2 linked regions of the Bombyx mori genome follow. The protein of the gene in region 2 binds, or shares a complex with, the protein of the main gene of each other region. Links are inferred from orthologs where the notes say so. Each region holds a gene or a part of one and is shown on either strand. Other genes may lie near its edges.

Region 1 (3,500 bases), on a different chromosome or scaffold from region 2:
AGCGCGCTCGGCTTTGTCCACTTTTCTTTCTAAATATTGTGACATTTCCTTTATTCGTGCGGCAGAGTCACTTTACAAATAAATTGTGTCGATCTTTTTGTATGACGTGATTTAATTTGATTTATTCGTTCATGGCAAAATGTCCGACATCCTGCGTTGTTCTTTGGTTTAGGCGGCAACGTTTGTTACCCATTTGCTAGGACATCCTTTGATAATATATTTTATTTGATTGTTGAAAATGTTTCTTCATTTATTGGATTTACTATTTCAATTCACAAAACTTATTTTTAATGTTAATTGCTTTAACAGTGTCTATTGTAACTTGTATTCGGTTAGAATTCCTAAAATTATATAATTAAAATAAATCAATAATTGAACATGATCATAATTAAGAACATTAATATTTTCAGAGATGCAAGGAGAAATTAAACACTCTCGCAATCAGCGTTATGAACCAGTGGCCGGGAGTGCGGCTCCGTGTGATCGAAGGTTGGGACGAAGAGAATAATCATCTAGACAAGGTACATTATTCATTTCATCATTGAATGATGAGGCATGTTGTAAGCGCTGTCGATGCTGCAAAACAAAAGGAAATATAGACACTATTCCAATCGTATTTATGTATACTGCCAATGAGCACCGATGACCTGGTACAACTGAATACACTTATCATACCTGGAATAGATTGCTGCTTATCCCTAGTTTTCAGTGTCAGATGACCAGCTGTTCCACTTAATATTAAGTAAATTATACATTTCGTTACGTTTGTCTGCTTAGATTGAAGAATAGAAGCAAATAAAATAATTTGCGTTTATTACTGATGGGAGATCGAATTAAAATCGTGCACTAGCAGGTACAATCATCTTGGTAGTGCCAAGTATTTCGGTTTGAATAGCAAAGACGACTATTATACGATTTGAGACCAAAACTAAACATATTAAGAGAGGTTGTGACATTTTTATTATGATTTATATGAATTCCGATAAATATTTAACACTAGCTGGTCCTTGAGTTGTCCGCCTATCTTGAGCAATAAGCATTGGTCTAATTAGCCAGCCCGAGAGAGTAGGTGACGAAATCCTGATTATTTGTGTGACACATCATTCATGCGTTTCAGAGGAGAAACCATTAGGATAATACAATGGAGACTTCGAATTGAAATTTCCAGATGGGTAGCAAAATTTACGATTTCTATGGGCTACAGCTACCAACTTTTTTATAGACCGCTAAACCTACTCATGGCCCATCTGGTGTTAAGTGCTTACCGGAGCTCATAGACGTCGACGACACAAACAGCGCCTCCCATTTTGAGATATGAGTTCTGTAACACAACGGCTGCCTCACCTTGTATATCGGAACTGCTTCGCGACAAATAGCCGGGGCGGTGGTACTTACTAGTGCATGTTCACAAGACACACCACCACCGGCAGAACATATAAAGAGCTGATCGTAAGTAAATAATTTTATACTTTTGTTTGTACAGTCTCTCCACTACGAGGGTCGGGCTGTGGACTTAACCACCAGTGACCGAGACCGCAGCAAATACGGTATGCTGGCCCGCCTCGCTGTCGAAGCCGGCTTTGACTGGGTCTTCTATGAAAGCCGGTCTTACATTCATTGTTCTGTTAAAACAGGTGGGTGTTCAATTGAATTTCGCTTTTTATCATTTAAAATGCGCTGCTGATCGAGCAGCGTCACACTTCGCAGTCTCGGGGTTGACGACACGTGCGTCTTCAGGTTAACTGAGTCATAAATAACTTCACCACCGTGATGAGTAACTATAATATTTTTTAACACCATTATCGAGATCGGTTACAATATGAAATGTAAAATTTTTACGTTCAGTTAAACACAAATACGATGATAACGATGATATTTTTTTTCTTTTTAGTATATTTGGACCAATAACTTATGCAATGTTAGATACGTGACGTGACATAATTTACACCACTGTGATGAGTAATTACAAAATTTTTGACGCCCTTGTCAAGATCGGTTACAATATGAAATGTAGAATTTTTACGTTCAGCTAAACCCAAATACGATGATAACGATGAAATATTTTTTTTCGGTTTAATATATTAGGATCAATAACTTGTGCAATGTTAGATACGTGACGTGACATAATTTACACCACTGTGATGAGTAATTACAAAATTTTTGACGCCCTTGTCAAGATCGGTTACAATATGAAATGTAGAATTTTTACTTTCAGTTAAACCCAAATACGATGATAGCGATGATTTTTTTCTTTTTAGTATATTTGGATCAATAACTTGTGCAATGTTAGATACGTGACGTGACATAATTTACATCACTGTGATGAGTAATTACAAAATTTTTGACGCCCTTGTCAAGATCGGTTACAATATGAAATGTAAAATTTTTACGTTCAGTTAAACCCAAATACGATGATAACGATGAAAAAAAAAATTCGTTTTAATATATTTGGATCAATAACTTATACGATGTTAGATACGTGACGTGACAATTTGGATAGTGGATATTTGATTACGTAACAGTTTATTGCAGCATCATGGTTACAGCATGATGGAAAAGCGTTGATAAAACTAATTTAGGGGAAAGTGGGGGAAACGCGAACGCTGGGTAATGCCGAATTCAATGGTTCTAATATGTTAGAAAGATATATCCTAATTTTATTTGCCGCCGTTTCGGAGATCACGCCACCACTGATGCCAGTCAATAACACGAGAGACGCGGACACACGTACTTAAAAAGGTATGCATTTTTCAATATTTTGTATGTGTTAGATGTAATTTTTTGGTAAATTCAAGTTGATGTAACTTTATTTCTATCTACAATAATAATTCAGCTTTTACATAGTGGAATAATCACATATTACTCAGCTAAATGATAATGATGTAGGAGGCAAAAAAAATTTAACCAAAATTGTTTTTTGACCTTTAATTATTTTCGATTCCGCGGGGTAAAGACGAACACTCCATGTCGGGCAATCTCGAACATTCGCCGTGACACTCCCGTTTGTTAGTACCCCGTTCAACTTTTTTTTAAATATTATTACAGATGCCTTGTACTTACAAAAGAAAGACCAAACTGAAATATAGTTTAGAAGATCTCAAAAAGGCTATAGACGATGTTAAAACCAAAAACTCTCCCTGCGTAAAGCAGCAGAAACATATAATGTTCCAAAAACCACTAATTTTGACCATCTAATGAAAGAAGTGTTAATACAGCCATGGTTGGATGAAAACCTTTATTTACAGACGATCAGGAAACGTAAGAAATCAAGAAGAAAACGGAAAGATGGCAAAAAAGGAACCCAAATAAAAAGACTGAAATGTAATGAAAGAACACCTTCAAACAAGAAGTATGAAATATTATTAAAGAATTTGAACAATATAAAAAAAGACTTTAGTGACTCTAGTCAAAATACGTAAAAAAAAGAAAAAGGCGAAAAAGAAAATAAAGACTACTTTTGTATTTTTTGTAGAGATAAATATATCGATCCTCCCGTTGAA
Region 2 (4,244 bases):
CGGTGTATTTTGGTCGCACGTTGCAGAAGTAGACTTTTGTCAGTTTCCTACCACTGTGTCAGTTAATGAGAGTGAGGGAGCTCATATAGAGTCCCTTCTTTATTTCGCCGTAAAGTCGTGTTTTATATAATTAACACCACAGTTGAAACAATATAAATTTTATTGTTTTAGCGGCATAAACAATTCTAAGTAATTATATTACATTAGTTATTAAACACATTATAAATTATTTTTTACGTTTTAAATATTTGGCGGTAAAAAGGTCCCGTGTCACATACTTTATTCTTTTTCCCACATCTCGTGCGTTCCGGCTTACGCATCATAAAAATGTGCGTTCATAAACGCCACAAGAGTCTGGTCCATAGCACGAAAGAGAAGGCTGACTTTCTGATTTAGCTCTGTTGGACGGTTAAATTTGAGTGGAATGGGTTCTGTAGGTGAGGGACTATTTAAAAACACTCTAGCTTCATGATTAATATAATTATATTGCAAATACTTTGTACACTATTACACCATTACAATATTTTATTTTTATAAAAACCCTACGATGTTGCACTGCCCGTATTTAGATGAGAAGTCATTGTCATCACTCAAGAGAAGACAAATATCTGTTTTAAACATTTAAATAAGAATTCCAATATTCGAAATATGTAACCTTACATGTGTCAAGTGTTGCCTGCCACTGCTTACATATTCAAACTCCAACAAGCTCTTCGCGTTAAAGTCGACTAGGGGGACAGAAGAGCCACACCAACGAACAACTCCTGGTGTAATAACTTCTTGCTGGCCGTTTCACACAGTGTGCAGTCACTGCAGTCAGGCCTGAGCTCTGGCTCCTGGAAGTTCATAAGTTGAGTGAGCCAAATTGTATCCCCGTAGAAGTTTTGGGGGAGGCCTATGTTCTATGGCAGTGGACGTCTGTGGACTGATGAAAAGAAGAAGAAGAGGTTTTGAAAGCTTGTGCCCCATTAACATCTGCACTAATGTTTAATGTCTCTTCGGGCTTAAATTTGTAATAACGGTCGTTTATTAGGTTTTTAACTTCTGTAAAAATGCACGGAGAAAATGAAACAAAGCTGCTGGACGTTTCTTTTCGGGATGTGCTTGAAAAAAACGAACATTTTATTGAGACTATATATTATTATCATCCTATACAATCTCATTTCATTGAATTTCATTTCAATTGATTAATGTCTCAAAATAATCAACTTTAATTCATTTCGCTCCTTATCATTTTTCATAAAACAAAAATAACAAAAGAGTGGGCTATACGTTGTGATATATTTGCCTCTTTAGTCGGAAAAATGGAATTACCACTGAAAAAGTAACAAAAGAGTGGGCTGTACGTTGTGATATCTTTGCCTCTCTAGTCGGAAAAATAGAATTACCACTGAAAAAGTGACAATAATGAATTAATGACATTTTTGGCGGGAACGCGAAGAGTGAAACTGTGTGATTTGTTTTATTTTGTCTATTTATTGTTTCTTCATGTTTAAATGTGTAATAACGGTGGTTTATTAACTGTTTAATATCTGTGAAAGATCCTAGAAAAAGTGAACTGAAAAAGTTTCATTAAATGACCACCATTTTACTGAGATTATATTATATCTCATATCATCTCATTTCATGCCATGTTTCATATTAATCAATTTCATTTCATTTCAAATTATCATTTTTCATTTAAAAAATATATATATGTATATATATCGACGCTTGAAAGGCAAACGTGACTAAGCGACAATGCGTGAACTTTATAATTATAAAGTTGAAATACCTGAAAACAAAATTTATTTTAACGAATCTAGCTGTAGTAGAATCTAGCTAGTAGCTGTAGGATTGAAATGATTTTAATAGACCTAGAAATATTTTTTTTTTGCGCATCGAATATGGTTATTGCCTATCATCTATGTACATTTTTTTTTTTTTTTTTTTTTCCTACCTAGGCTGAGAGCCTTGAGAGGCTATGTCAGCGTAACCCTAACTTTTGTAGGTGAGCTCACGGGGCTCAAACCTGATGACGTTGCTAACACGAACCCTAGCAAGAGCCGTGCTTCGCAGAATCTACCACCGGATCGGGCGACCCACTGAGAAGATCCGGCGAGAAACTCAGTGGGCTGTGTCTGAGAGTTAGTTTACTCGTCGAGCCCTTCGTCGCAAGCGACGGATTCGACGAGAACGGTGACCGGTGCTTGAAGTACCTAGAAGCACCGTTAGTGGATCGGGAGGATCCGAGATGACGTGTTTTGGGCGACGTCGACTGCTTTCCATTCTGTCCGCAGGATCGGGAATGTAGTTACCGGCGGCCACGATGAGAGGGTTCTCGTGTCGTGCCGCTTTATCGAAGTGGCGCATTGACGCCGACTGCATATACTTACTGGTGGACTCTAAGTCCAGGTCGTCATGGAGGTCGACGTTCCTGACGAACCACGGGGCTCCGACGGCTATCCTGCAAAAACGGGATTGAATGATTTGGAATGACTTTAAGTGAGTGCGGGCCGCGTGAGCGAATACTACACTTGCATAGGTCATGACGGGGCGTATGCAAGTTTTGTAGAGTGTCACCTTATTTCTAAGGGACATTTTACTTCGCCTACATATCATCGGGTAGATCTATGTACAAAGCGGTTATTGTCGCTTAGTCACGTTTGCCTTTCAAGCGTCGATATATAAAAGATTATGCTTTATGGTATTTACCTTTATGGTAATACCTTTGCCTTTCCAGTTGGAAAAATAAAACTACTATTTTTGACAAGTGACAACAATGACATTTAACAATCAGAAATAGATTAGAGACAAGGAATCCTACATTATTTACGATTTGTTTAGTGATTTTGTGAAATTCTACTTTTTTATTTTTTTGCAATATGTAAACCCATTTGAATATTGTACATGCATTTGCATAAGTTAAAATGCCGAAAAAATTAATGCTTTATCGTGAGAAAATGGATTGAAACTCGAATAATATGCAGTTCGAGATGTTGGCCGCTTATTCCAGGTTTATTGTTCGTCATTCTTACCTCGTTCTTTTTACTGTAAGTATTTTGTCCATCGTACTTACTGTGATCCCGCTAATTCTACACGAGCTACCCTCATTTTCTGATCCCATAGTCGGATTTGAAACCCGGGGTACGACGTTAGCACATCGCTTCATTGCTTGGGAAAATCTGAATGACGAAACGAGGCCGTCCAAACGTCTTGCAGTGAACCCTAAAGAAATTGAAGATCAAATCAGAATGAACCGAACTTACTACAACAAGACTCACCAAGACAGATCTAGATCAGGACGCAGAAGGCCAAAAAAGAAGGATCGAAACAAGAAAAACAAAATGGTCCCGAATATCACAGGATTAGAAAAAACTTGGTCTGATTATAGTGAATTAAACATTTCTGATGGACATGTACATTGGGGTTTTGGAATAAATGTAACAAATGAAGATGAACATGCTGTACTACTCAAAGACCATTCCAGAAAACAGTGGTTGTCTTTGAAAAATATGCAGAGGATAGCTGACAAGCCCATCAATCTTAATTACGCTTCTGGAACGTGTGGTCCACCAATATCAGATTATGCTCACTTAGTTATTACCAACACAGATAATTCGAGTTTATTGTCATACAAGAATGTTGAGAGATTGTGTAAATTTCAGTCATATCTGGTTGAATTAGGTGGGTATGAATATTATGAATTATGTCAGAGGACAACACACTCTGAAGATATTTGCTGTCCTGTATGGAGTCTCCCAAATTATATTGCTTTAATATCTGGAAAGGATTCCTGTGTCAACTTAAACAAGGAAGATGTAAAAAAAGCTGTAACTATTTTGAAGAAATGTGCAGGATATTTTCATAATTTTACATTGATGGCTGCTTGTGATTTAGATCACTGTAATGTTCCGAAATACTGTACTCAGCACAACGCAGTCTATAATTTGTTATTTTATCTTATAGATTCAGAAGCATTTTCACCATTGAATAATGCACAAAAGTTTGTAAAGAATACAATGCTGTTTTTGCCACTTCCAAGAAGTGATACTGTATTGCCATATTATAAGAAACTGGAAAACTCAAATATGTCATATGACAATCTTGTTATACCAGCTATTGATTTTGGTTTGAAAAATGCTCTTTTTGATATTTGGATCATTGAGGATACTTGGTTGATAGCATTAGGTGGCATTTTTGTGTTTGCATGTGTGTGGATATATACAAGATCATTAATTCTCACGCTATTTCTGTTTGCCGCC

Evidence for each region. Proteins that work in one complex are often made in the same cells at the same time.
Region 1: the proteins of protein dispatched (region 2) and sonic hedgehog protein are in contact, whole or in part, in a cryo-EM structure (PDB 6TD6), measured with the Drosophila melanogaster proteins. The link is inferred for Bombyx mori from reciprocal best matches to the Drosophila melanogaster genes disp and hh. Residues at the interface, in NP_524734.2 of Drosophila melanogaster: His77, His78, Arg250, Tyr253, Glu296, Ala404, Gln405, Ser406, Asn407, Arg408, Gly434, Asn755; in NP_001034065.1 of Drosophila melanogaster: Tyr100, Pro101, Val103, Leu104, Lys105, Gln106, Thr107, Asn110, Leu111, Ser117, Glu164, Lys165, Val168, Ala228, Gly229.

The regions. Positions count from the first base shown.
Region 1 is NC_085115.1:6,288,086-6,291,585, forward strand, and holds part of sonic hedgehog protein, read left to right. Parts: intron 1-410; coding exon 411-521; intron 522-1,483; coding exon 1,484-1,634; intron 1,635-3,500.
Region 2 is NC_085128.1:4,459,642-4,463,885, reverse strand, and holds the start of protein dispatched, read left to right. Parts: upstream 1-1,444; 5' UTR 1,445-1,500; intron 1,501-2,722; 5' UTR 2,723-2,963; coding exon 2,964-4,244. UniProt on the Drosophila melanogaster protein: Segment polarity protein which functions in hedgehog (Hh) signaling.